4 linked regions of the Saccharomyces cerevisiae S288C genome follow. The protein of the gene in region 2 binds, or shares a complex with, the protein of the main gene of each other region. Each region holds a gene or a part of one and is shown on either strand. Other genes may lie near its edges. A codon is read from its position in the direction of its gene.

What was found.
Region 1: the proteins of EMC1 (region 2) and SOP4 are in contact, whole or in part, in a cryo-EM structure (PDB 6WB9), measured with the Saccharomyces cerevisiae proteins. Residues at the interface, in NP_009884.1 of Saccharomyces cerevisiae: Val25 (codon at 5,029), Phe26 (codon at 5,026), Ser27 (codon at 5,023), Asp28 (codon at 5,020), Ala30 (codon at 5,014), Phe81 (codon at 4,861), Arg82 (codon at 4,858), Asn83 (codon at 4,855), Asp119 (codon at 4,747), Trp120 (codon at 4,744), Phe121 (codon at 4,741), Leu122 (codon at 4,738), Leu123 (codon at 4,735), Glu125 (codon at 4,729), Gly126 (codon at 4,726), Val127 (codon at 4,723), Glu500 (codon at 3,604), Asp528 (codon at 3,520), Phe529 (codon at 3,517), Arg530 (codon at 3,514), Phe531 (codon at 3,511), Phe547 (codon at 3,463), Ser549 (codon at 3,457), Pro551 (codon at 3,451), Val552 (codon at 3,448), Pro553 (codon at 3,445), Glu554 (codon at 3,442), Ile599 (codon at 3,307), Phe600 (codon at 3,304), Pro601 (codon at 3,301); in NP_012343.1 of Saccharomyces cerevisiae: Phe39 (codon at 1,899), Val40 (codon at 1,896), Ser41 (codon at 1,893), Thr42 (codon at 1,890), Arg43 (codon at 1,887), Lys47 (codon at 1,875), Tyr49 (codon at 1,869), Ile51 (codon at 1,863), Tyr58 (codon at 1,842), Pro59 (codon at 1,839), Thr61 (codon at 1,833), Thr64 (codon at 1,824), Met65 (codon at 1,821), Phe66 (codon at 1,818), Gln67 (codon at 1,815), Asp68 (codon at 1,812), Asp69 (codon at 1,809), Glu74 (codon at 1,794), Asn77 (codon at 1,785), Val91 (codon at 1,743), Tyr93 (codon at 1,737), Ala95 (codon at 1,731), Met97 (codon at 1,725), Asn100 (codon at 1,716), Arg105 (codon at 1,701), Phe127 (codon at 1,635), Gly128 (codon at 1,632), Arg129 (codon at 1,629), Glu130 (codon at 1,626), Tyr131 (codon at 1,623).
Region 3: the proteins of EMC1 (region 2) and EMC10 are in contact, whole or in part, in a cryo-EM structure (PDB 6WB9), measured with the Saccharomyces cerevisiae proteins. Residues at the interface, in NP_009884.1 of Saccharomyces cerevisiae: His425 (codon at 3,829), Phe427 (codon at 3,823), Ile440 (codon at 3,784), Glu442 (codon at 3,778), Lys447 (codon at 3,763), Thr449 (codon at 3,757), Trp450 (codon at 3,754), Lys451 (codon at 3,751), Lys452 (codon at 3,748), Ala453 (codon at 3,745), Asn455 (codon at 3,739), Glu458 (codon at 3,730), Asn499 (codon at 3,607), Glu501 (codon at 3,601), His502 (codon at 3,598), Ile513 (codon at 3,565), Thr514 (codon at 3,562), Gly515 (codon at 3,559), Glu516 (codon at 3,556), Ile517 (codon at 3,553), Leu518 (codon at 3,550), Thr520 (codon at 3,544), Gln521 (codon at 3,541), Glu522 (codon at 3,538), His523 (codon at 3,535), Lys524 (codon at 3,532), Asp525 (codon at 3,529), Pro551 (codon at 3,451), Val552 (codon at 3,448), Val558 (codon at 3,430); in NP_010341.3 of Saccharomyces cerevisiae: Asp28 (codon at 1,680), Glu63 (codon at 1,785), Cys65 (codon at 1,791), Pro77 (codon at 1,827), Cys78 (codon at 1,830), Phe79 (codon at 1,833), Ser80 (codon at 1,836), Tyr81 (codon at 1,839), Met82 (codon at 1,842), Lys83 (codon at 1,845), Tyr90 (codon at 1,866), Asp95 (codon at 1,881), Asp97 (codon at 1,887), Glu98 (codon at 1,890), Asp99 (codon at 1,893), Glu101 (codon at 1,899), Lys103 (codon at 1,905), Gln104 (codon at 1,908), Val105 (codon at 1,911), Ser106 (codon at 1,914), Leu107 (codon at 1,917), Ser108 (codon at 1,920), Tyr109 (codon at 1,923), Glu111 (codon at 1,929), Arg121 (codon at 1,959), Pro123 (codon at 1,965), Glu124 (codon at 1,968), Ala125 (codon at 1,971), Gly126 (codon at 1,974), Pro127 (codon at 1,977).
Region 4: EMC1 (region 2) and EMC6 share a complex: the UniProt entries of both Saccharomyces cerevisiae proteins name them as parts of the ER membrane protein complex.

Annotation. Positions count from the first base shown.
Region 1 is NC_001142.9:71,402-76,431, forward strand, and holds SOP4 (Sop4p), read right to left. Parts: upstream 2,014-5,030; coding exon 1,309-2,013; downstream 1-1,308. Other genes in the region: YJL193W (uncharacterized protein), read left to right, coding at 1-1,173; 40S ribosomal protein uS11 RPS14B, read left to right, coding at 2,386-2,395, 2,804-3,210; 40S ribosomal protein uS8 RPS22A, read right to left, coding at 3,509-3,901; 60S ribosomal protein eL39 RPL39, read left to right, coding at 4,532-4,537, 4,924-5,030. UniProt on the Saccharomyces cerevisiae protein: Involved in the export of PMA1, possibly through the monitoring or assisting of PMA1 folding and acquisition of competence to enter vesicles.
Region 2 is NC_001135.5:41,805-48,733, forward strand, and holds EMC1 (Emc1p), read right to left. Parts: upstream 5,102-6,929; coding exon 2,819-5,101; downstream 1-2,818. Other genes in the region: SPS22 (Sps22p), read left to right, coding at 361-1,752; POF1 (nicotinamide-nucleotide adenylyltransferase), read right to left, coding at 1,857-2,633; MGR1 (Mgr1p), read right to left, coding at 5,307-6,560; protein disulfide isomerase PDI1, read right to left, coding at 6,849-6,929. UniProt on the Saccharomyces cerevisiae protein: Part of the endoplasmic reticulum membrane protein complex (EMC) that enables the energy-independent insertion into endoplasmic reticulum membranes of newly synthesized membrane proteins.
Region 3 is NC_001136.10:562,927-567,238, reverse strand, and holds EMC10 (Emc10p), read left to right. Parts: upstream 1-1,598; coding exon 1,599-2,216; downstream 2,217-4,312. Other genes in the region: YOS9 (Yos9p), read right to left, coding at 1-1,312; PST1 (Pst1p), read right to left, coding at 2,378-3,712. UniProt on the Saccharomyces cerevisiae protein: Part of the endoplasmic reticulum membrane protein complex (EMC) that enables the energy-independent insertion into endoplasmic reticulum membranes of newly synthesized membrane proteins.
Region 4 is NC_001144.5:118,834-123,647, reverse strand, and holds EMC6 (Emc6p), read right to left. Parts: upstream 2,327-4,814; coding exon 2,000-2,326; downstream 1-1,999. Other genes in the region: mRNA-binding protein PUF3, read left to right, coding at 1-1,573; ATP-binding cassette bilirubin transporter BPT1, read right to left, coding at 2,537-4,814. UniProt on the Saccharomyces cerevisiae protein: Part of the endoplasmic reticulum membrane protein complex (EMC) that enables the energy-independent insertion into endoplasmic reticulum membranes of newly synthesized membrane proteins.

The sequences.
Region 1 (5,030 bases), on a different chromosome or scaffold from region 2:
GCACACATAATTTTTTTATGCATAAGTTGGTATTTTATTTCATCGTTGGCATCTCAGGTAACGAAGCAGGTACTAACGGTTTGCCCATTACCACTTTTTTTGGGTGAGTTTCAGTTCATTTATACTGCTGTGCTAGCATGGTTTACGTGTTATATTGCATATAGTTTCCCAGGATTCTATCGCATATTTCCTAATGGTACTTTTCCGGAATATTATATCGACGACAGAGAAACTAGCCGTGCAGCTAGGAAAGAATCAAAACTATCCTCCCTCATTATACCGCCCTCTAAACCAATCCTGCAAACAGTTCTACCTTTAGGTCTTTTCCAATTTGTAGGGAAATATTTTGGGCATACAGCTACCTCTTTGGTGCCTGTTTCCACGGTTGCAAGTATAAAAACGCTATCCCCCATGTTTATCCTTTTGCTCCAAAAGATTTTGAAAATATCCACTTTGAAAATTACTTTAACTCTTATCTTTAGTTTATGCACTTTAGTTCTTGGAGTTTGGATTATAGTTCAAGAAGATAATCGTTCACCGGCCTCTTCCAATGAGCTGAGAGAATTCTCTAAATACGGCGTAATATGCGCTATGATATCAATGTTCATTTTTGTCTTGCAAAATATATATGGCAAGACCGTGTTCACGTACAGATCTCAAACAGATGAATCTCAAAGTAATTCTGGATTCTCACGGCAAGAATCACCTTTACCCTTATATGAAAAGTTGGATGAGAAACTTGTTGCGAAAAAGAAACCTAAATCATATGACAAATTGACTTTAATGATTTATATTTCCCTTGTTGGATTTTGTTTATCGTTTGGCTGGTTTATCACTCTAGAATTTCCTGTACTATTTAGGTATTTTTTTCAAATTAACAGCTCTTCTACAGTAATAAAAGCTTTTCCAGTCTCTTTATTTTTACTGAACGGGACATTCCACTTCATTCAGGCAATGATTACATTTCATTTACTGGGTGAGGTCTCAACTTTAACATATTCAATAGCGAATCTGATGAAGCGCTTTGCCATTATTGCGGTTAGTTGGGTCTTTATTGGAAGAAGAATTACTTGGCTGCAAGTGTTCGGTTTGGTTCTGAACACATTAGGGTTATTCCTTTATGAAAGATGCACATCACAATCGAAAATAAAAGCGAAAATACGTCCTGAGTAGTTTAACATGATAGAATATAAATGCAAATAATATTTATTCCCTTTAGGAAATACGGGTGTTTTGAATTTACTTATCTGTACCATACATAAAATTTACATATAATAATAGAATCTTTATCAACACATAATAGTCACTCTACTTTGAGGCAACGGCAGCATACTTTTCTCTTTGTTTTCTTTTTGCCTCCTCTCTGATGGCTCGAGCTGTTTCGGGGTCCAACTTTTCTACTATGATTGGGAAAACGACAAGGGCAATTAAGGTAATAACGCCCGCCAGTTTCCAACGTGAGTTCAAAATATTACCCACAATACCTGTAGAAAAGATACTGACGTTTCTAGCCTGTAAATAAGATCTAATCGGGGCCTTATGTAAAAGCTCCACTGTAATATAAGGGTGCACCTTCATAGATTGTAATTTTTCTGGGTACGTTATATCTTTGGATGGGAAATATTCTCTTCCAAAAAAGTTCTTGAACGCGTTCAATTGTAAGGTGCCATTCTCTAAATTCTTGAATTCAATAAGAATTCTGTTTGGCTTCAGATTGAAGTCCATAGATGCTGGGTACATCACATAGTATGTCGTTTCATTAACACCGTCGTTTAAAGGGAGATTAGCGAATTCAAAGTTGCCTTCGTCATCTTGAAACATGGTCGTAGATGTGTAAGGATATTCTGTCGAAAAATTGCCGATCTGATAAAGTTTGAAACTTGTTCTAGTTGAAACAAAGCCGGTGATGTTACTTGCTGCTAAGTCTAAGCGACCCTTAATGGTCCCTCTCCTGGCCGTAGCACTGGCGACATAAATAAATGCACTGAGTAAAAGAACAATCTGTGAAAACATCGTCACACTGCTCTTTCACTTGTTGATCAAATTTACTTTGATGATATTTAATGGCTTGACAAATTCGTTCATCTTAATTTCATACATAATTTCATCCTGAAATCCTCGATCATTTTCGAGACTGTTTTTCGAGCTTGATTTTATATGTGGTGTAAACACATCATTGTACATCCTTGCACCACACTGAAAAGAATATGGAAAAAATTTCAAACTTTTTAATGGGTGATAGACTTGAAAAACAAAACGGAATAAAAGATATAGTCGCAAGAACTTGCCTTCTACGAGTATAAAAGCGGTACTATTCCTTCTGTATGCATCTTCATCGCAAGAGAGAAAAAGACTGAAATCAACAACTCCCAATAACAATTAAGAATGGCTAACGGTACGTGAAAGGGGTGATATCCTGTTTAAAACCATTTAGTTATTCTTTTTTTCAGATGGAGACTGTGATCGGGTAGCGCATGATGTTATTATTGGAATTTTATTTTTTTTGCAACTTTGAAGCACTCCTAACTATATTGCAATAGTGTTATGAGATGCTACTTATGTTTGTAAGGCCATGAAATTCTGTAATACGGAGTTAAAATTTCTGCAATAAAGCACTTCAATGCTATTGTGTTATAGAGGCTCTGCGCTCACCCTTAATACTGTATCATCTGTAATAAAGAATGTTTATCTTAAAAGGATTGTAACTAAATGGTTGTTAGATAGTGACTCATTCGTTTATTTTTTAATAATCGAAAAAGCAGAAGTTCTGTTTACTAACAACTATACCTCTTATCATGTATAGACCTTGTTCAAGCTCGCGATAACTCTCAAGTCTTTGGTGTTGCCAGAATCTACGCCTCCTTTAACGATACCTTTGTACATGTTACCGATTTATCTGGTAAGGAAACTATCGCCAGAGTTACTGGTGGTATGAAAGTCAAGGCCGACAGAGACGAATCATCTCCATACGCTGCTATGTTGGCTGCCCAAGATGTTGCCGCTAAGTGTAAGGAAGTCGGTATCACTGCCGTTCACGTTAAGATCAGAGCTACTGGTGGTACCAGAACCAAGACCCCAGGACCAGGTGGTCAAGCCGCTTTGAGAGCTTTGGCCAGATCTGGTTTGAGGATTGGCCGTATCGAAGACGTTACTCCAGTCCCATCAGACTCCACCAGAAAGAAGGGTGGTAGAAGAGGTAGAAGATTATGATTTCTTTTTTTTTTACTCTATTAACGCATGGAAATACGGCTTTACCTTCTCACATAAATATAGTTTGTTTAATTAATAAAGCCAATATAAACATTTGCATATTCGACTTCGTGCATGCAGAAATGCGGCAGATAAATTCATTTCTGTCTAATCTTTTGAACAGTTTTAAAGTACAAATATATTAGTATTTAACAGGAAAACTAAAAAAATGTATAATAAGAAATGAGTAAAGTTATGAGGCTATCTTGTGTTTATTATAGTATATAAAGCTACCGAAAAGGTTGTTGTAACAAGTAGCTTAGTAAACGAAACCCAAAATCTTACCAGAAACGTGCTTTCTTCTGGCTTCTTCATGGTCCATGATACCAGCAGAGGTGGTCAAGATGACGTAACCGAATTGTCTGGCTGGCAACAAGTTGGCAGTCCATTTTTCAATGTCACCAATCTTAACGTTGAATCTTGGGGAAATAACACCACACTTGTTCAATCTACCGTTCAATTGAACAACAATCTTACCAGATCTGTGGTCATCGATGTATTCAAATTCACCAATGTAACCGTGCTTTTGCATAACTTGCAAAAACTTGATAATGACCTTGGAGGATGGTCTGATTAAAACTTGACGCTTACCGGTCTTTTCAGCGTTGTTAATGGCATTCAAAGCATCAGCTAAAACGGAAGATCTGGTCATCTTGGATATGTATGTTGGTCTTGTTTTATAAAAAATACTAGAACTGAAAGGCCATTAAAAAACCTTACAATTTAAGAATTGAATAGTCGATTAAGATTATTTAGATTGAAATTGACTAACTGCAAACCCATATTCAAGAATTATTTCACATCTTCCAGCGAGTAAACATGCCGCTGGTAATCGCGCGTCCTCAATATTTGAGTTTTTCAAATAGTGAGGTGTGGATGTATAGAGGAATTACACACTTTTAAGTATGTGATGTATGGGCGCACAGTACCAATTTAACTTTTTTTTTTTTTCATTTTTTAGCTTGATTTTCAAAAAACTTATGGGCGTTTTAGGCTCCGGCTCAAACTACCACCACCACGCGGCAGGCCGAGGCAAACAGTACGCCTTGGCGGGGACGCCGAAGCGACTCCTTCTGTTCCAAGCTCAATGGTCCTTGCGTTTACGCTCGCGCGTGGGCTAACTAACGCAATTCGGCTTTTGGGCTGTCGAGAACCGAGAATTATTCTTCGCCTTGATAGATACTTTAAAACTTCTACTTAATATACTTTCTACAATTTTTGGTACATTCATATTATACTGAAAATTCGAAAAAGACAAGCAAATAAACACAGATAGATCAACATGGCTGTATGTTAGAAAGATATTATAAATCCCAGTTAGATGCTGAACTGATCAATAGCAAATTATAAACCACATCCATCTAAATGACCTTACCACCTACAATTTGGATTTGAAATAGAAGCAATGTGTAAAATATAGGGAAAGGATTAGGAGTGTTAACCATACTAAAATTTTTCTTATCCGAAACAGAAATCTAAAGTCGCCACTACGCAGATTAAAATATGGTCATAAACTGCTTATTCTGAGAACTTTTGGTGGTCCAGCGTGGTTTATGTCAGGTGGTATTGCCTTGGATCCGTGAATGCATCACATTGATGAGTTTGAACATTGTTACTAACATTTTTTACAATTGTACACTTCGTATGTGCACGATATGTTTCCCTTTTAATTAGGCTCAAAAGTCTTTCAGAATCAAGCAAAAAATGGCTAAGGCTAAGAAGCAAAACAGACCATTGCCACAATGGATCAGATTGAGAACCAACAACACTATCCGTTACAA
Region 2 (6,929 bases):
TTTCGTTCCATTAAGCTTTTTCTTTGTTCTTTACGTTTGATTCTATTTCAACCATAATTTATTTTTTCGTTATTTAATAATTACTAATATTTAATACTAGATGTATATACGTTGTGTGTATGCGCTACTATAGTATAGCTTAACTGTTTTATTATACCCTTTTTTTCTCTCTTTACTGTACAGAAGATGCGTCACTAATTCAAAAAAAAAAAAAAAAAAAAAAATATAAAAAAGAAAGATTTTGGAGAAGCTATATCCTTTTGTGACATACAATAGAGAAACTTGTTCTGTTGGTAAGATATCTCATCTGAAATACAACAAGGAAAACCAAAAGCCATTTTTTCATTACTTGATCGACTTATGAACCGTATTACTAGGAAAAGTTGTTTATTCGCGATTATATTTGCATCATTATTTGTGACACATGCATTGGGTGCCGCTATTGATCCGCCAAGGCGACCACATAATGTGAAGCCTTTTCATAACGGTAATCTCGAACTTCAAAGAAGAGCAAATGAACCGTTTTTTGAAATAGATGTCAAGAGTCTGAACACAAACTCACCGATATCAGAGTTGTGTAAAAAAGATTTGCACGTCATTGAATCGTCTCATGATCTTTTTCATTTACAAAACCAATGTGAATTCATCTTGGGGTCATTAAAAGTCACAAACTATGATTCTAACATTTTGGATTTGAACAGCTTGAGGGCCATTGGTGGTGACCTGATTATTCAGGATTCACCTGAACTGATCAGAATCCAAGCCGGGAACTTGAATAAAATCGAAGGGCTCTTCCAATTACAGGGACTAACCTCTTTGGTTTCTGTTGAAATTCCAACTTTGAAATTTTGTCAGTCACTGGAGTGGAAAGTTGTTCCCATCTTGAACTACGTCTCCATGGATTCTCAGAATATTGAGATTATAAAGGATATTGTCATATCGGATACTTCATTAGCAAACATCGAGAATTTCAACAAGGTTCAGGAAATTGATACTTTCAATATCAATAATAACAGATTTTTAGAAACTATTCATTCGAACGTTAAAACCATTAGGGGACAATTCAGTGTACATGCGAACGCTAAGGAGCTAGAACTTGAAATGCCACACTTGAGAGAAGTGGAAAACATAACGATTAGGGACACATCATTGGTCTACCTTCCACAATTAACAAAAGTGAAAAGCTCTTTAGAGTTCATCGAAAATTACTTTTACGAATTGAACCTGAACAATTTGCAGAAGATTGGTGGAACATTAGGAATTATCAACAATGTAAATTTAATAAAAGTTAATTTGGAGAACTTAACAGACATTCAAGGTGGCTTGATGATCGCCGATAACGAATCCCTCGAGGATATTACTTTCCTGCCAAACTTGAAGCAGATTGGAGGTGCTATTTTCTTTGAAGGTTCGTTCAAAGATATCATGTTCGATAGCTTGAAACTGGTGAAAGGTAGCGCTTTTATTAAGAGTTCATCAAACGTGTTGGATTGCAATAAATGGACAAACCCATCAAATGGAAGATCAATCATCAGGGGTGGGAAATTCACTTGTATTTCTGGTAAGAAGGAAAATACGCTGAATGTTAAACAGGATGGTACAATCATAGAAAAAGGGTACAAAGATTTAACGCAAGAAGGTGAAGACTCCAAGAAAAGAGTGATTTCAAAATACGCGAACTCAGCAAATCCAAGCATGCAATTGGACCCCCTTCTTTTTGGTACATGCCTTGTTGCTATGTTATTGTTTTAAGATTACTAGTCTAGTATAACAGAAAGTTTTTTTTGTTCCTAATATTATCTTTATCTATATACATATATCTCCATGAAAGGCATTTGAATTTCTATCTTTCTCTTTCAATCAAATATTGTCTTATTATTGATCAAATAATCGTATATGCACAATGGCAACTCGTCTTTCAAACTCTCCACTTGCCCATTCTTCAGTTTGTTCCTAATCTCGGATGATGAAACATTTCTTAATGCTGGATAATCATTTTGCATAACATGAATCCTAGCGCCCCATTCTCTTGGTATTACCGGTTCGAATTTTCCCTCAAGGATGTCACTGGCGTATCTTAGTTGCGATTCAGCACTGAGATGGCAATCGCCTCTCGCCAAGCAATATAATTGAGATCCCGACATGAAGCTCTCCATTACATCACTGATTTTTAAAGGATGATAATATTTTTCATCAAAGATCCTAGCAATTGTATCAAAACCAACTAAGTAGCCTATATCTGCACTGCATCCTTTAACAAATTGCTCATGTAATATTTTGTCCTTGTCGATGAATTTCGAGAAAACAGTCAACCCGACAGATACTACAGATTGGGGGAGCTTCTCCTGAAGGTAGTCAGCGAATAAGCACATCATTTCCAGACGAGTTGGAAAAGATGCCGGCTTAGGCAACTTATCTGCATTATTCACCGCTAACAGTAATAAAACATGCGAACGGGTGTCCTTCAATTTGAAGTTTTTAATAGTCTGCGATAGTAGTTGAAAATGGGCCAGATGTGGTGGATTGAATGAAGAATCAAGGACAAATAACTTCTGACATTCTAGATGCTGGGGTCCTTTGAGAACCTGAAATAGTAAATTGCTTTTTCGAAACTGCTCGAACGTCTTCTTCATATTAGTCTGCTAGTGCACGTACTGCTATCAACCGTCATTGATTAAGTGTCCATTTTCCAAAGAAGTAGGAGATTATATAACCACGAGTATGACGTCTTCCAGGGAAAAAAAAAAAAAAAAAAAAGAAAGCCAAAATAAGGAGCCTTGAAATGTGTATCTGATATATATAATGTGTATGTAAATATCTATTTAATTAGCCATTGGGATTTCAACTTCTTGTTTGAAACAGAAGGACGGATAAAATACGTGATCACCAACAAGACGAATATAGTAATAAGCAATTTACCCTTTTCGAAAGTAGGACTCATTAAATCAAATTGGCCCGAAGGTGTGATCCTTGTACAAAATACATCAAGGCCTAGATCACATATAATGCTTGTGGATTCCAGATTGGTTGGGATGGAGATCAACTGCGAATCGGATCCTGGCAATAGATTTCTGAAATGAGTGATAATGAAATTATCATTAATTGGGATAACTGGCGTGTATGGGGTAGCCATAAACTCTTTTTTCTTATCCTTGGCCATTTCTTCTGCTGGTTTACCTCTTGCATTCAATAAAAGCTTTGGTATGTAGGTGATTTGTCCATTTTCTAATTCCATAACGATTGCCTTTGTGGTAATATCATCCGTTGTCTTGGAAATGGACATTGTTTTGATAATCTCGGGAAAAATGAATTGTTTAGTTTGAAATTGAGGTTTGTTAATGTGTCCAGTCAATGGATCATAAGAAAAATTGTCGCTTGAGTTAGACAAACGCTCATCTGGGGTTAGTGACTCATATAATTCCACCACTACTAACTTTTGTTCTGGAACAGGTTCAGAACTGAAATAGGAATAAACGACCCAATATTCACCGAAAACAATATCCATTGGAAACCTAAAATCCGGAGAATCCTTGTGCTCTTGGGTAATGAGGATTTCTCCTGTAATGGTATCAATTAAGTTAAAAGTGATTGTATGATGTTCTTCATTAGCGATCAGATAAGCCGCTAGGTTGGGGTACAAATATTTATAAAGAACCGATTTGTCACCTAGTGTAATACCAAGAGTGTTTAGGTTTGTTGTTTCCCTCTTGCTATATGCCACCATTTTCTCTTTCGAATTTACGGCTTTTTTCCAAGTTTGTTTTACCGTATCGTTTTCGATTATGTAGCCATAAATGCCATTCGTGTCATGCTCTGTGACGAATATGTGGGAACTAGAATGGTTGTTGGCAACTATTGGTACATCCGTATTCTTGCCGGGATTCAATTTGAACAGTAAATGATCCTTATCCTCAAACTTAATCAGATACTGGTGATCATGTTCATTCAGCCTAATAACGGAATCAACAGTTTTCCTTTCAGATAGGGGGGATCTTGATTTGATAATCGGTTGATCTTTAGTAACTTCAATTGTCAAATAATGCCCATCATGCGAAAAAACAACAAGTTCGTCATGGTTTTTATCCGTCCAGAACATTTTGACGCCCTGATCAATTTCTAAATCGAGTTTCCAGATAAGTTGGCCCTTATTGACCATATCAAGGCCGCCGATAAAGCCATCATGCGTCAAAACAATTAAGATTTTGGCGAATCCGAACTTCAAATCTGATACCGTGGTATCCTTAGCGTCTAGAGCTAGGAGTTTAGTGAAGACACGTCCTGGTGAGAATTGGTTTTCTTTCAATAAGTTGATAAGGCGATTCCAATTAGTTGTCAATCTAAGCCAGTAAGCATTCCAAAGCGAATTTGAATCAAGTTCCGCTTTCATATCTTTGTTCAACTCCACATCCCTAGAATCGAAGACGTCCAATACAGCATAGTCTACCACGTTAGTCAACCATTCATCTCTTTGCCAAACGGGGATCAATTCTGTGCCATTGGCAGAGAATCCCATATATTGGGTATCATTAACGTTCAACACTAACGCCAGGGGATCTTCACGATGAAAATATTCCACTTTATTGAACCCTTGAGGTAACTCCAATTTCCATTCTGCCAGTTTTGACTGCTCATCGAGAATATGTAGTTCATTGTTCTTAATAGATACTTGATCGTTTAAATATGAGGATTGAGGTAAAATGGTCGTAGAAGGGGCATTATCTACGCCTTCCTCTAGTAAAAACCAATCGTGTAAATCATATTTCTGCCAATGGTTGCTTGAAGAGTTCACACAAACCATTGCGTTATGGTCATTACTATCCAGTTGAATCTCATCAATGGTAAAGGGTAAAACGTTTCTGAAAAGAATCTGTCCGGAAGAAACGTTAAACGAAGAAACTAAGCAGGAAGTTTCGGTAGGGTTCGATAAGATGAGAACCCTGTTGCGGTCTCGAGAATCAGGGATGACTTTCTCCCAAGGACCTAAGTTAGCCAGTTGCCAATCAGTGATAAATGCATCATCTGAAAAAACGGCTTGGACACAACTCGTGTTTAGGAAGAGTAAAATGAAGACGTACACCAAGTCTGTACACGTTATCTTCATTGCTATGGGGGAAGGGGAGGATGAAAGTGTTGATATGAATGTAGGTATTAGTTATTAATGGAGTGTATATATATATATGTTATTATATATTTGCATATATAATATGAAATCCCAGCCATATTTTCTCTGGTAGCCGTCTGAAAAATCACGGTGTACGAAGAAGGATTTAATATACGCACGGTACAACTAAGCAATCCGCAAAGACCTAATGTGTCTTTTCATTAGTGAGAGCCTTGGGGGTAGGCCCTGGTAACGGCTGGTCCGTGCTAGTGGGTGTCTTGGTATGGGAGGGCATGGTAGTTGGTATGAATTTGATGCTTAGCGAAGTTTCTAAGGCCAAAGTCATCCATGGATCATAAAGCGATCTTATTGTATCGAGATCAATATCTTGCGGGCCTTTCGTGTCATGGGGCAAAATGACACCTCGGGAGAGTGTGGTGCTGGATCTCTTCTTTACTGGTGCGGAAATGGAATCTCCCGAAGATGCTAAGAAATGCAGTCTTTTTTCCACATTTTGTAGATGGAGTTTTTTGGACTCGGAAAGACCTTCAAGGCCAGTAGAAGAAGACTGCGGATTGTGGGATATGGAATTGATGAGTTCAATGGAATTTTCTCTAATGTTTCTTTTATTTTGAAAAAACTCGAACATGTCCAAGTGAAATTCCATGCGATTGAGGTACTCGTTGAAAGACATGGGCTTGTATTCCAAGGGTCCGAACCATTTAATAATGGGATTCTGCGCCTCAACTTGCGCTCTAGCGAGAGCGACGCTTTGTTTGACCTCAGGGATATTTGTCGAGAGAGGAGTACCGTTCATAGCATCCTTGACTTTTATTTTGGTGGGGTCTATGCCCTCGTGATAATATTTGACAATATTGTTGAAAAACTTCTTGTCACGTACGGATTTCATTTCGTCGCACCAGGGGTCGTATTTAAGAAAGTTCAGGCGAGTAAGCTCCAACAGTGACTGAGAAAGTAGCAAAGAGCCAAACAACCCCCATAAGAGCTTTCTGACGCTGACGAATCGAGATTGGCGAGGTATGATGGGAGGAGGGGCGAGCACAATGTCACCATGGGTGGTGGAGAAGCGGTTCAAAGTTGGAAAGTCAGCAATATCCTTTTTGATTTTAGTCTTGCCATTGACAATCATTTCACTGGGTAGTTCGCCAAAGGATAAATCCGAGTGAGTGCCAGTGGCAATGCGGCGCGGTGGCGGTAGTTTGTAGAGCCTTCTCAGTCTCCAAAGGGCAAAGAAACCCACTGCAGATTGGATAGTGATTAGAGTGTATAGTCCCGGTAGGTTATCAGGAGCGGGTACGAGCGGACCCCACAGTTTTAAGCCTAAACTTGGCCTTATGTAGAATTTCTTGATATCATTATCATCTTTGTCGTGGTCATCTTGTGTGTGAGTATGGTCGGTGGAATTGCTATTACCTGATGGAGGAGTAAATACAGCCATCTTTTATTACGGTAATTGGAAAAGGAGAGGGAATGGAGGAGGATGAGATAAGTAGTTTCCTAAGCAGTAAAGCAAGTGTCCACATTTAAGTAAAAGACGATGCCATGCACTTATTATTACTACGTGGTCAATTTTCTCTTTCCCTAAGGCGTTCGTGCAGTGTGACGAATATAGCGAACAACTATTGTGTTTGAATTTTAACGTTTATCTTTTTATGATTTTTTTAAAAAAACTTCCTAGAAAATTTCTTATATATCTCTATTTAATGAAAAACCAAAGTGATCAGAATTACAATTCATCGTGAATGGCATCTTCTTCGTCAGCCAATTCAGCGTCAGCATCGGCTTCCTCAGCAGCTTTTTCCTGGGC
Region 3 (4,312 bases), on a different chromosome or scaffold from region 2:
TCAAGAATAGCTCATTATCAGTGTTAATTAAGTATTCATCTGACCGAATTTCTGCGGTATTTATATCTGCTTTGTTTGAGTGGGTTATTTGACCAAGTTCAGTTGACTCGCCATGATCCCCAATTTTGTATGATAGGAAGTTTCCATTATCTTCATTAAATGTAAACGTCTTGTTGAAAAATATCTCTGCTCTCTGTGAATTAAGTATGTTCAACGATAAAGTGGTTTGAAACCGATCTTTCATATCAACCACTTCCGCCAACCAAACACATGAGTCACCAGGCTGGAGAATATGTCCATTAGGTAACGATACTAATCTCAAACTAAGCATTTTGTTTATGGCATTTCCAAATTTCTGGTAATATGTTTCCGTAATCTCATCCCAATTTGACATGGCATTGTCAGTAACCATTAATTTGTCTCTTTCGTCGGTGTTAAAGGGCCTTAGAAAGTATATTCCAGAACCTAAAAAAATCGGTTCATATTTGGTGATTAAATCAATAGAGTTACTACCAATTTTTGATTTTGCGGGCATCCTGCAAAGTATAGGTGAGGCGTTCTTTTGGTCTTCATTTTTGGCTAGTAATTCTAAATTGCACAATTCAGGTATGGTAACTTGGGCTTCATAAACACAAATTTTTGTTTCTCTCACCCATTGAATAGTCGATGGTCCAGAGTTTGAGCCGCCACAGACATATTGTATTTCAACCATTCTTTCAGCCCCCGTCACATCGCAAATATCACCTGACCCTATAATTTCGCTGATGTAATATCCTACATCGTCATAAAGTAGTTCAAATTCTCTCTCTTCTACATTTGCTTTTGGTTTTCCCAGGCGGTAGACCAAAGATTCATCTCGATTTACTATTTCACCAGTTTTTGTATTTACTCTACCATGGAACTGAACAAATTCTATGCCAGGACAGTACTCGTAAATCCAAAATCCGGCTTGGTAGAAGATGCACCGTTCATTTAATTTATCGAAAATTGTCTTAACACCTTGATTCAGGGTTTTAGTTAATAATGCTGTCTTTTCACTATTGCTATGCTCATTTGAGTCTTCCAATACATCATTCAATTGAGTGCTTGCATTTTGAATAAAGCATTCAAGGTCGTCGCCCATATTCACTATATATCCCGAGTTCATGACAGACTGATTTTGTAATATCCTATCACTCCAGTCGTCCTCATCGATGTAAGATATGAGGTACTTATTCGATACTATGGGGTCTTCTATAGGTGCTAATAGTGATGATCCTAACGGAATCAACGCAGAAATTGCGCTCAGAGCATATATAATTTTAGCTTGCATTGAAACAGGGAAGAAAGGGGATGATAACGATATATGTGAAGATCTATTGCTTATTTTAGGGAATCTGCTTCTTTTTTATGAAGCTACATTTTTACTTGAAATTTCCGCTGTATTTTTTTGCATACGTGCGCTGGGTCTCTAACCACTGTATTTGCATTGGTAACTTAAAAACCCAACCAAATATAGGAATAATTAGAAGTATATAAAAGACACTTTGAGTAAAAAAACAAGGTGGTACTATTCAACACTATCTAACAAGAACTGTACAATACTCATTGAAGGAAAGATGCTTGTGCGGCTGTTGCGTGTGATTTTATTGGCCAGCATGGTTTTCTGTGCTGATATTTTACAATTAAGCTATTCAGATGATGCGAAAGACGCTATACCCCTAGGAACATTTGAGATTGATAGTACATCCGATGGGAATGTTACAGTAACAACCGTTAATATACAGGATGTTGAAGTTTCTGGAGAATACTGTTTGAATGCCCAGATTGAAGGTAAGCTGGATATGCCATGTTTTAGCTACATGAAGCTGAGGACACCACTAAAATACGATTTAATTGTGGATGTAGATGAAGATAATGAGGTCAAACAAGTGTCGTTATCATATGACGAGACTAACGATGCTATTACTGCTACAGTCAGATATCCAGAAGCGGGACCTACTGCACCAGTCACCAAATTAAAGAAGAAAACCAAAACTTATGCTGATAAAAAAGCTAGTAAGAATAAGGATGGAAGCACTGCACAATTCGAAGAAGATGAAGAGGTTAAGGAGGTGTCTTGGTTTCAAAAGAACTGGAAAATGTTACTTTTAGGCCTATTGATTTACAATTTTGTTGCGGGCTCAGCAAAGAAGCAACAACAAGGAGGTGCCGGAGCTGATCAAAAGACTGAGTAAATAAAGTATTGTGATTTTTTAAATTTTTAAGTGTCGTTACTTTTATCTCTTTCCCGAAAATATTTGAATACATAAAATTTTTAAATAAATGTTTTTATTTGTTCACATGTCGTGAATGACAGGTACTAGTTATCAAAAATGAAGAATATTTCTTCATTCCATTACATTATAGACATGATGATTGCCGTCAAAAGACCGACCAAAGGGGTTGTTTGGCCAATTGGTGCCATGATAGCGGCATTGCCTTTGGAACTCTTAGAGCTAGAGCTGGAAGCGCCAGAACTAGAAACACTAGAGGCAGAAGCAGCAGCCTTGATATCGCCAGAAGTGAACTTCTTTTCCTCGGCCTTAGAAGATGACTTGGAAACCTTGGCAGTAGTTTGGCTTGATTGAGATTTGGAAGTGGACGATAGTTTAACAGATGTGGATGATGCACCATTTTTGCAGACAAAAGATTCACCCTTGATACCCCCTTTCTTTTGCAAAGCTTTCAAAGCATTACAGGAGAAATTGCTTGACTTTGATTCGACATCTGCGCCACCCTTGACAGACTTCAAAGAGTCTAGGTTCAAGGAGGTGAAGTTACCAACAACTTCCAAAGTACCGCCAATGGTTGTTAGGTTGTCGAGACCACCAATTTTTTGTAAACCAGTGTTGTTAGCAACGACAAGAGCACCACCTATGGTTGACAAATTAGAGAACGACAAGTTCTTCAAGTAGTCATTGGAAACGATACTGAAGGTTTGGCCAATGGTGTTTAGCTTAGTGAAATTCAAACTTGAGATGGAGTTGTTGATGAAACCCAATGAAGAGTTAATCTTTTGCAAGTTAGCGAAGGAAACAGAGTGGACATCGGTCAAACTGATATTGTTTGCCCAAACCAAGTCATCGAAGGTGATTTTAGTCTGGTTACCGTTGAACGAAAATTGTAAAGAATCGCTGACTGTTTCAACTGGAGATTTGATCGAGGTTAATTTCTTATTGTTATTGACGTTGAACACGTTAACTTTTTTCAAGGCTGAGAATCCATCGACAGATTGTAACGAAGTGTCGGAAATATAAATGTTGTTAGCAGATTTGATATTTGAAGTAAAACTGGAGATGGCGGGTAGAGTAATCAGTTTTATACTATCAACGCTCTGTAAAGACCCAAATGAAGCAGAAGTCAAGATTGTCAAACTCTGTAGGTTCAAAGAATCTGTGATGGACTCCAAGGAATCAGCAGCGAATGAGGTTAGATTTGTAGCGTTAAATATAGTTAGAGACCCGTTGATTTCTTTAACATTAGCCAAAGCACCAGTCTTCAAACCACCACCAATAGTTAAGTTCCCGACTAACGTATCACAGCGGCTATATTTATCTAAGTCACTCTGAGCTGTGGCCGTGGCATGTGAGCTTATGGTACAGGAAGAGGGTATGCTGGAAGAAGAGGAAGTAGCAGCCAAAGCTGACGTTATTAAGAGCGCAGTTGAAGCGATAAGTGAATGTAATTGCATGATATTTTTATAGCGAGCTTTTTTTTTTTGCTTCTCTCTTGGATTAGATCTATTGCAGCGTGATGTACTGTAAGATTCTATTGAACTATACAGAGCAAGAGTTGAATAGAGAAGAATATGCACGCTATTTATATGTTTATCTGTAGAGCATATATGGGTTTGCTCGTAAGGAACCTTGAGCGGTTGAATGATATTACTTAGAGTTAATGCTATGAAAACCCAGCCCAATCATTCAACATTACTCTTTGTAGTAATAAACTCTGATCAAAGTCCGAATCAGGGCAGTGTGCCTACGCTATTTTTAGAGACTCGTAACACTATTAAAACTAAAAGCCCTCTCTACTAATTAAGATATCCCAGCTTTGTGGTCTTTTTTGGGTTTCTTTGGTTTTTTTCCCTCAAGGATACCGAAAATGCGGGCCTTAATTTAAAGCCTTTTCCGTAAAGAGAAAACAAAAATGAGTTGGCGGGTCAACGGGGAGTGCTATTTTAAACGACTCAAATACATTTGAAAAAGAAAAAAATAGCCGCCCAGCTCCCACGTGCATATCACGTGCATTATAACCCGGTTTTCAGATAATAGAAATCCGCTCACTCTAT
Region 4 (4,814 bases), on a different chromosome or scaffold from region 2:
AAAGAAGAAGGCAAACAGACCTTCTTCTGTTTCTTCACCTTCGTCCCCTCCAAACAATTCTCCGTTCCCGTTTGCCTACCCCAACCCAATGATGTTTATGCCACCTCCACCACTCTCTGCTCCCCAGCAACAACAGCAACAGCAACAACAACAACAACAAGAAGACCAACAACAGCAACAGCAACAGGAGAATCCTTATATTTACTACCCTACTCCAAATCCTATACCTGTCAAAATGCCCAAGGACGAAAAAACCTTCAAGAAAAGAAATAACAAGAATCATCCTGCAAATAACTCCAACAACGCCAACAAACAGGCAAATCCTTATCTAGAAAATTCTATACCCACAAAGAATACCTCTAAAAAGAATGCTTCTTCCAAATCTAATGAGTCAACGGCCAACAACCATAAATCTCACTCTCATTCTCATCCTCATTCTCAAAGTCTACAGCAACAGCAGCAAACGTATCATCGATCGCCGTTGTTAGAGCAACTAAGAAACAGTAGTTCTGACAAAAATTCAAACTCGAACATGTCACTAAAAGACATCTTTGGCCATTCCTTAGAGTTTTGCAAAGATCAACATGGTTCACGGTTCATTCAGCGCGAGTTGGCCACCTCACCAGCCTCAGAAAAGGAGGTCATATTCAATGAAATTCGCGATGACGCCATTGAGCTTTCGAACGATGTATTTGGTAATTACGTCATTCAGAAGTTTTTTGAATTTGGTAGCAAAATTCAAAAAAATACTTTGGTTGATCAATTTAAAGGTAACATGAAACAGTTATCTCTACAAATGTACGCATGTCGTGTAATTCAAAAGGCGTTAGAATATATTGATTCCAATCAAAGAATTGAGTTAGTCCTGGAATTATCTGACTCCGTTTTGCAAATGATCAAAGATCAGAACGGTAATCACGTAATTCAAAAGGCCATCGAAACAATTCCTATCGAAAAATTACCTTTTATCTTAAGTTCTTTAACTGGCCACATTTACCATCTATCTACCCACTCCTACGGCTGTAGGGTCATTCAAAGATTGTTAGAATTTGGTTCGAGCGAAGATCAGGAAAGCATTTTAAACGAATTGAAAGATTTCATACCATATCTAATTCAAGACCAATATGGTAACTATGTCATTCAATATGTTTTGCAACAAGATCAGTTCACCAATAAGGAAATGGTCGATATCAAACAGGAAATCATAGAAACTGTGGCCAATAATGTTGTCGAATACTCTAAACATAAATTTGCCTCCAACGTGGTCGAAAAATCTATTCTTTATGGCTCTAAAAATCAGAAGGATTTAATAATTTCTAAGATTTTACCAAGAGACAAAAATCATGCTTTGAATCTGGAAGACGATTCTCCAATGATTTTAATGATCAAGGATCAATTTGCCAACTATGTGATTCAAAAATTAGTTAATGTCTCTGAGGGTGAGGGTAAGAAATTGATCGTCATTGCCATTAGAGCATATTTGGATAAACTAAACAAATCTAACTCCCTAGGAAATAGACATTTAGCCAGTGTTGAGAAACTTGCAGCATTGGTTGAAAATGCGGAGGTGTGATTAGTGTTATCATCGTTCTCCTTTCACTTTTTACTATTTTTTTTTTTTTTTTTTTTTTTTTTTTTTCCTCCATTTGTCTTTCACTTACTCTATTTTATTTTGTTTTATTTTGATATCTACTCTTGTCCATAACATTTATGTTCCCCTATATTCATTATTTGCTTTTTTCCATTACCTACTTTTTGTACCTCATCTCTATTTTTCTGCAAAAATCTTTGCGCTCTTACGCTCTTCTTATTTCTGCAACAGATAGAGAATTTAACATTGTGTATTTGAAATCATTTGACTGAGAATACTGTTGTCATGTCTTTTTACATAGAAGGAACTAAAAAAATTTAAAAAAAAAAAACACAAATAACATTATATTTACTGTACATAATAAATCAAGCCTGTTTCTAACCGTTTATAGAAGTAGTTCTTATATGTTCATCCGATTAGGGCGTATCCAAATGTCCATGCCATGACAAAACCAGTTATCTCTCTAAAAAACGATTCGAAAAAAATGTCATGAAGTGGGCTTTGGTAGAACTTTCCTGGTTGAAGTTGACAGATCCAAACAATGTAAATGACATTAATCAAGTTGTACAGAATCAGGAACCAAATAAACCCATGGACTGACTCGATTTGCAAAAATCCTGCAACAAGCCCTAGAACAAGTGCTGAGCTATCTTGCACGAAAAGTAAACGCTTCTTATTATCAACCACATTCGCAGTTGCGTTTATCTGAGTAAATACCTCTTCATTTGAGCTCATTTCTATCTGTCTGCCGCTGTCTTTCTCGAACACTGCTTGAGCAATCCAACATAAGGTTAAAATTAAGTTGTATTTAGTTATATCTCTACTAGCTTCATTTGTGATTACCCGGGTTACTAGAAAGCATATAGAAAGAAAAAGAATTGGCGTGACCGTACATATTGCAGCGCATTAAATGTTCTATATCTTCATATATAATAATCAATGTCATTATTTCAAATACCCACCTTTCTCACAAAGACTGTAAAAAATAGACGTTTTATCGGATAACAATTTCGAGGGTGAATCGAATTCCCTCACACTACCCTGGTCAAGAACAATTATCTTATCACTGTCCAATACAGTGTCGATACGATGTGCAATTGTTAAGATGGTACGGTCCTTAAATTCTCTTCTTATAGTGTCTTGGATAATTTTATCGGTTTCCATATCCACAGAAGCCGTTGCTTCATCAAGGACCAATATTTTGGAACGGTTTAGCAGCGCTCTTGCCAAACATAGTAGTTGTCTTTGCCCCACTGACAAGTTACTACCGTTCTCATTAATCTTGACATCCAGAATATCATTAACATTGCCATCCTCTTCATTAGAATCATCACCTCTTGGTTTACTGTGCAGCATTTTTTCCAGATGAGGCTTTAAATGTGCCTGCTCAACAGCCCTTTTAAGTTCATCTTCTGAATAACGATTGAAAGGGTCCAAATTGGTCTTTACTGTACCTTCAAAAGCTTGTGCATCCTGAGGAATAATTGCCAAATGGCTTCTTAAATCGAACAGACCTATGTCGGATATATCAATGCCGTCAATAATAATTTTACCTTCGGTAGGTTCTAGTATTCTAAATAATGCCAGGCTCAGTGTAGACTTCCCTGCACCTGTTCTGCCAACAATCCCAACCTTTTCACATGGCTCAATCTTCACGTTAATATTATTCAGCACTGGATCCAAATTTTCTCTGTATTTTGTGGAATAGTTTTTGAATTCAATACCACCCTTTGATGGCCAATTTTCATCTGGCCTCTTTTCAGGGTTAATGGACTGTGCTTCAGGTGGTAATTCGCAGTACTCAACAATTCTCTCCACTGATACAATGTTGGTTTCAATCGTCACAGTTGTCCTTACAATCCAAGTCAATGAACCTGTAACCTCTAATGAATAGCTCATTAGTAGACCAACCATACCCGAACTTAGTTGCCTTTTAGTATTCATTGTTGCTAGTGCTAAGATTGCAGTAGCCAAAACAATTGTAGCACCAATAGTTTGCAATCTCACGGATAACCATCTATTCGTTGATCTAAAGTTGAAGACAAAATCAACGTTGTATTGGATTTTTTCATAATTTAGATAGATGAATCTCTCAAAATGATCGTATGCATCAATAATAGAATAACCGTTCAAGCTCTCACTCATTAAGGACATAATCGGAGAGTAAGATATACTGATCAATCTTTTTAGCTCCCTAGATAGCACAATGTAAAATGTTTGATAGTAAATATAGATAACCACCAAAAACATATTGAACACTAAAAACCATGGCATATTGTACCCGACTAATATAACAGTAACCAAATAGGTTAGTATTGATTTGAAAAAAAAGGAGAAAATGTACTGTAGATTACTGTCCACTGCATCCATATCAGATGAGAACCTGTTTATGATCCTTCCAACTGGTGTAGTCTCAAAGAAAGTCATAGGACTTCTAATTACAGATTTGGCCATGCTTTCATGCAGTTTCTTAGAACCCCTAATAGAACAATACAGTAGCATCATAATACTCCGTAAATTATTGAATGCGGCCGATGCTACTCCGATTAAGGAATACACACCAACAAACATCCAAACCCTTTCATTTGAACCATTTTTTTCATTAGATTCTGACCAGTACTTTAACCAAAAATTCTCTGCTAAGTCGAAAACCCTTGTTAATATCATAAACAAGAAAAATAAAACAACACCTAAAACTCCACAAGCCTTAATATACGCAAGATAAATCTTTGTTTTGACTCTTCCCACCTCTGTCTTCTCGGCCTTTTGCGCCGTTTTCTTCACGGAATCCAATTGTGCTCCCACAAAGGGTCTAGGTCTTAGCGTAGCTAGAGAAGCTCTTCTAGAATTGGCTTTGATTAGTTCTAATTCACTCTCAGTAACAACCTCATCCTCAGTTTCTGATTCAGTTACTTTAAGCTGCAGAGGTTCATCCACTTCACTTTCGGATCGGTGTTCAGTTTGGACATCGCTTTCATTTCCATTATCAATCGGAGAATCAAATTCCTCTAGTAATTTTTTCAGTTTTGAAGTATTGTTCTTACGGTTCATTACATCCTCATAATTCCCTTGTTCAACAATTTCACCGTTTTCTAGCGCATATATCATCTGCGAATGTTTTAAAATTGATACAGTATTGGTAGTTAAAATAATTGTTTTATTTTTTAATAAAGCCGTCTTTCCGATCAAAACATATTCAATAATATTTTTACTAACTTCTGCA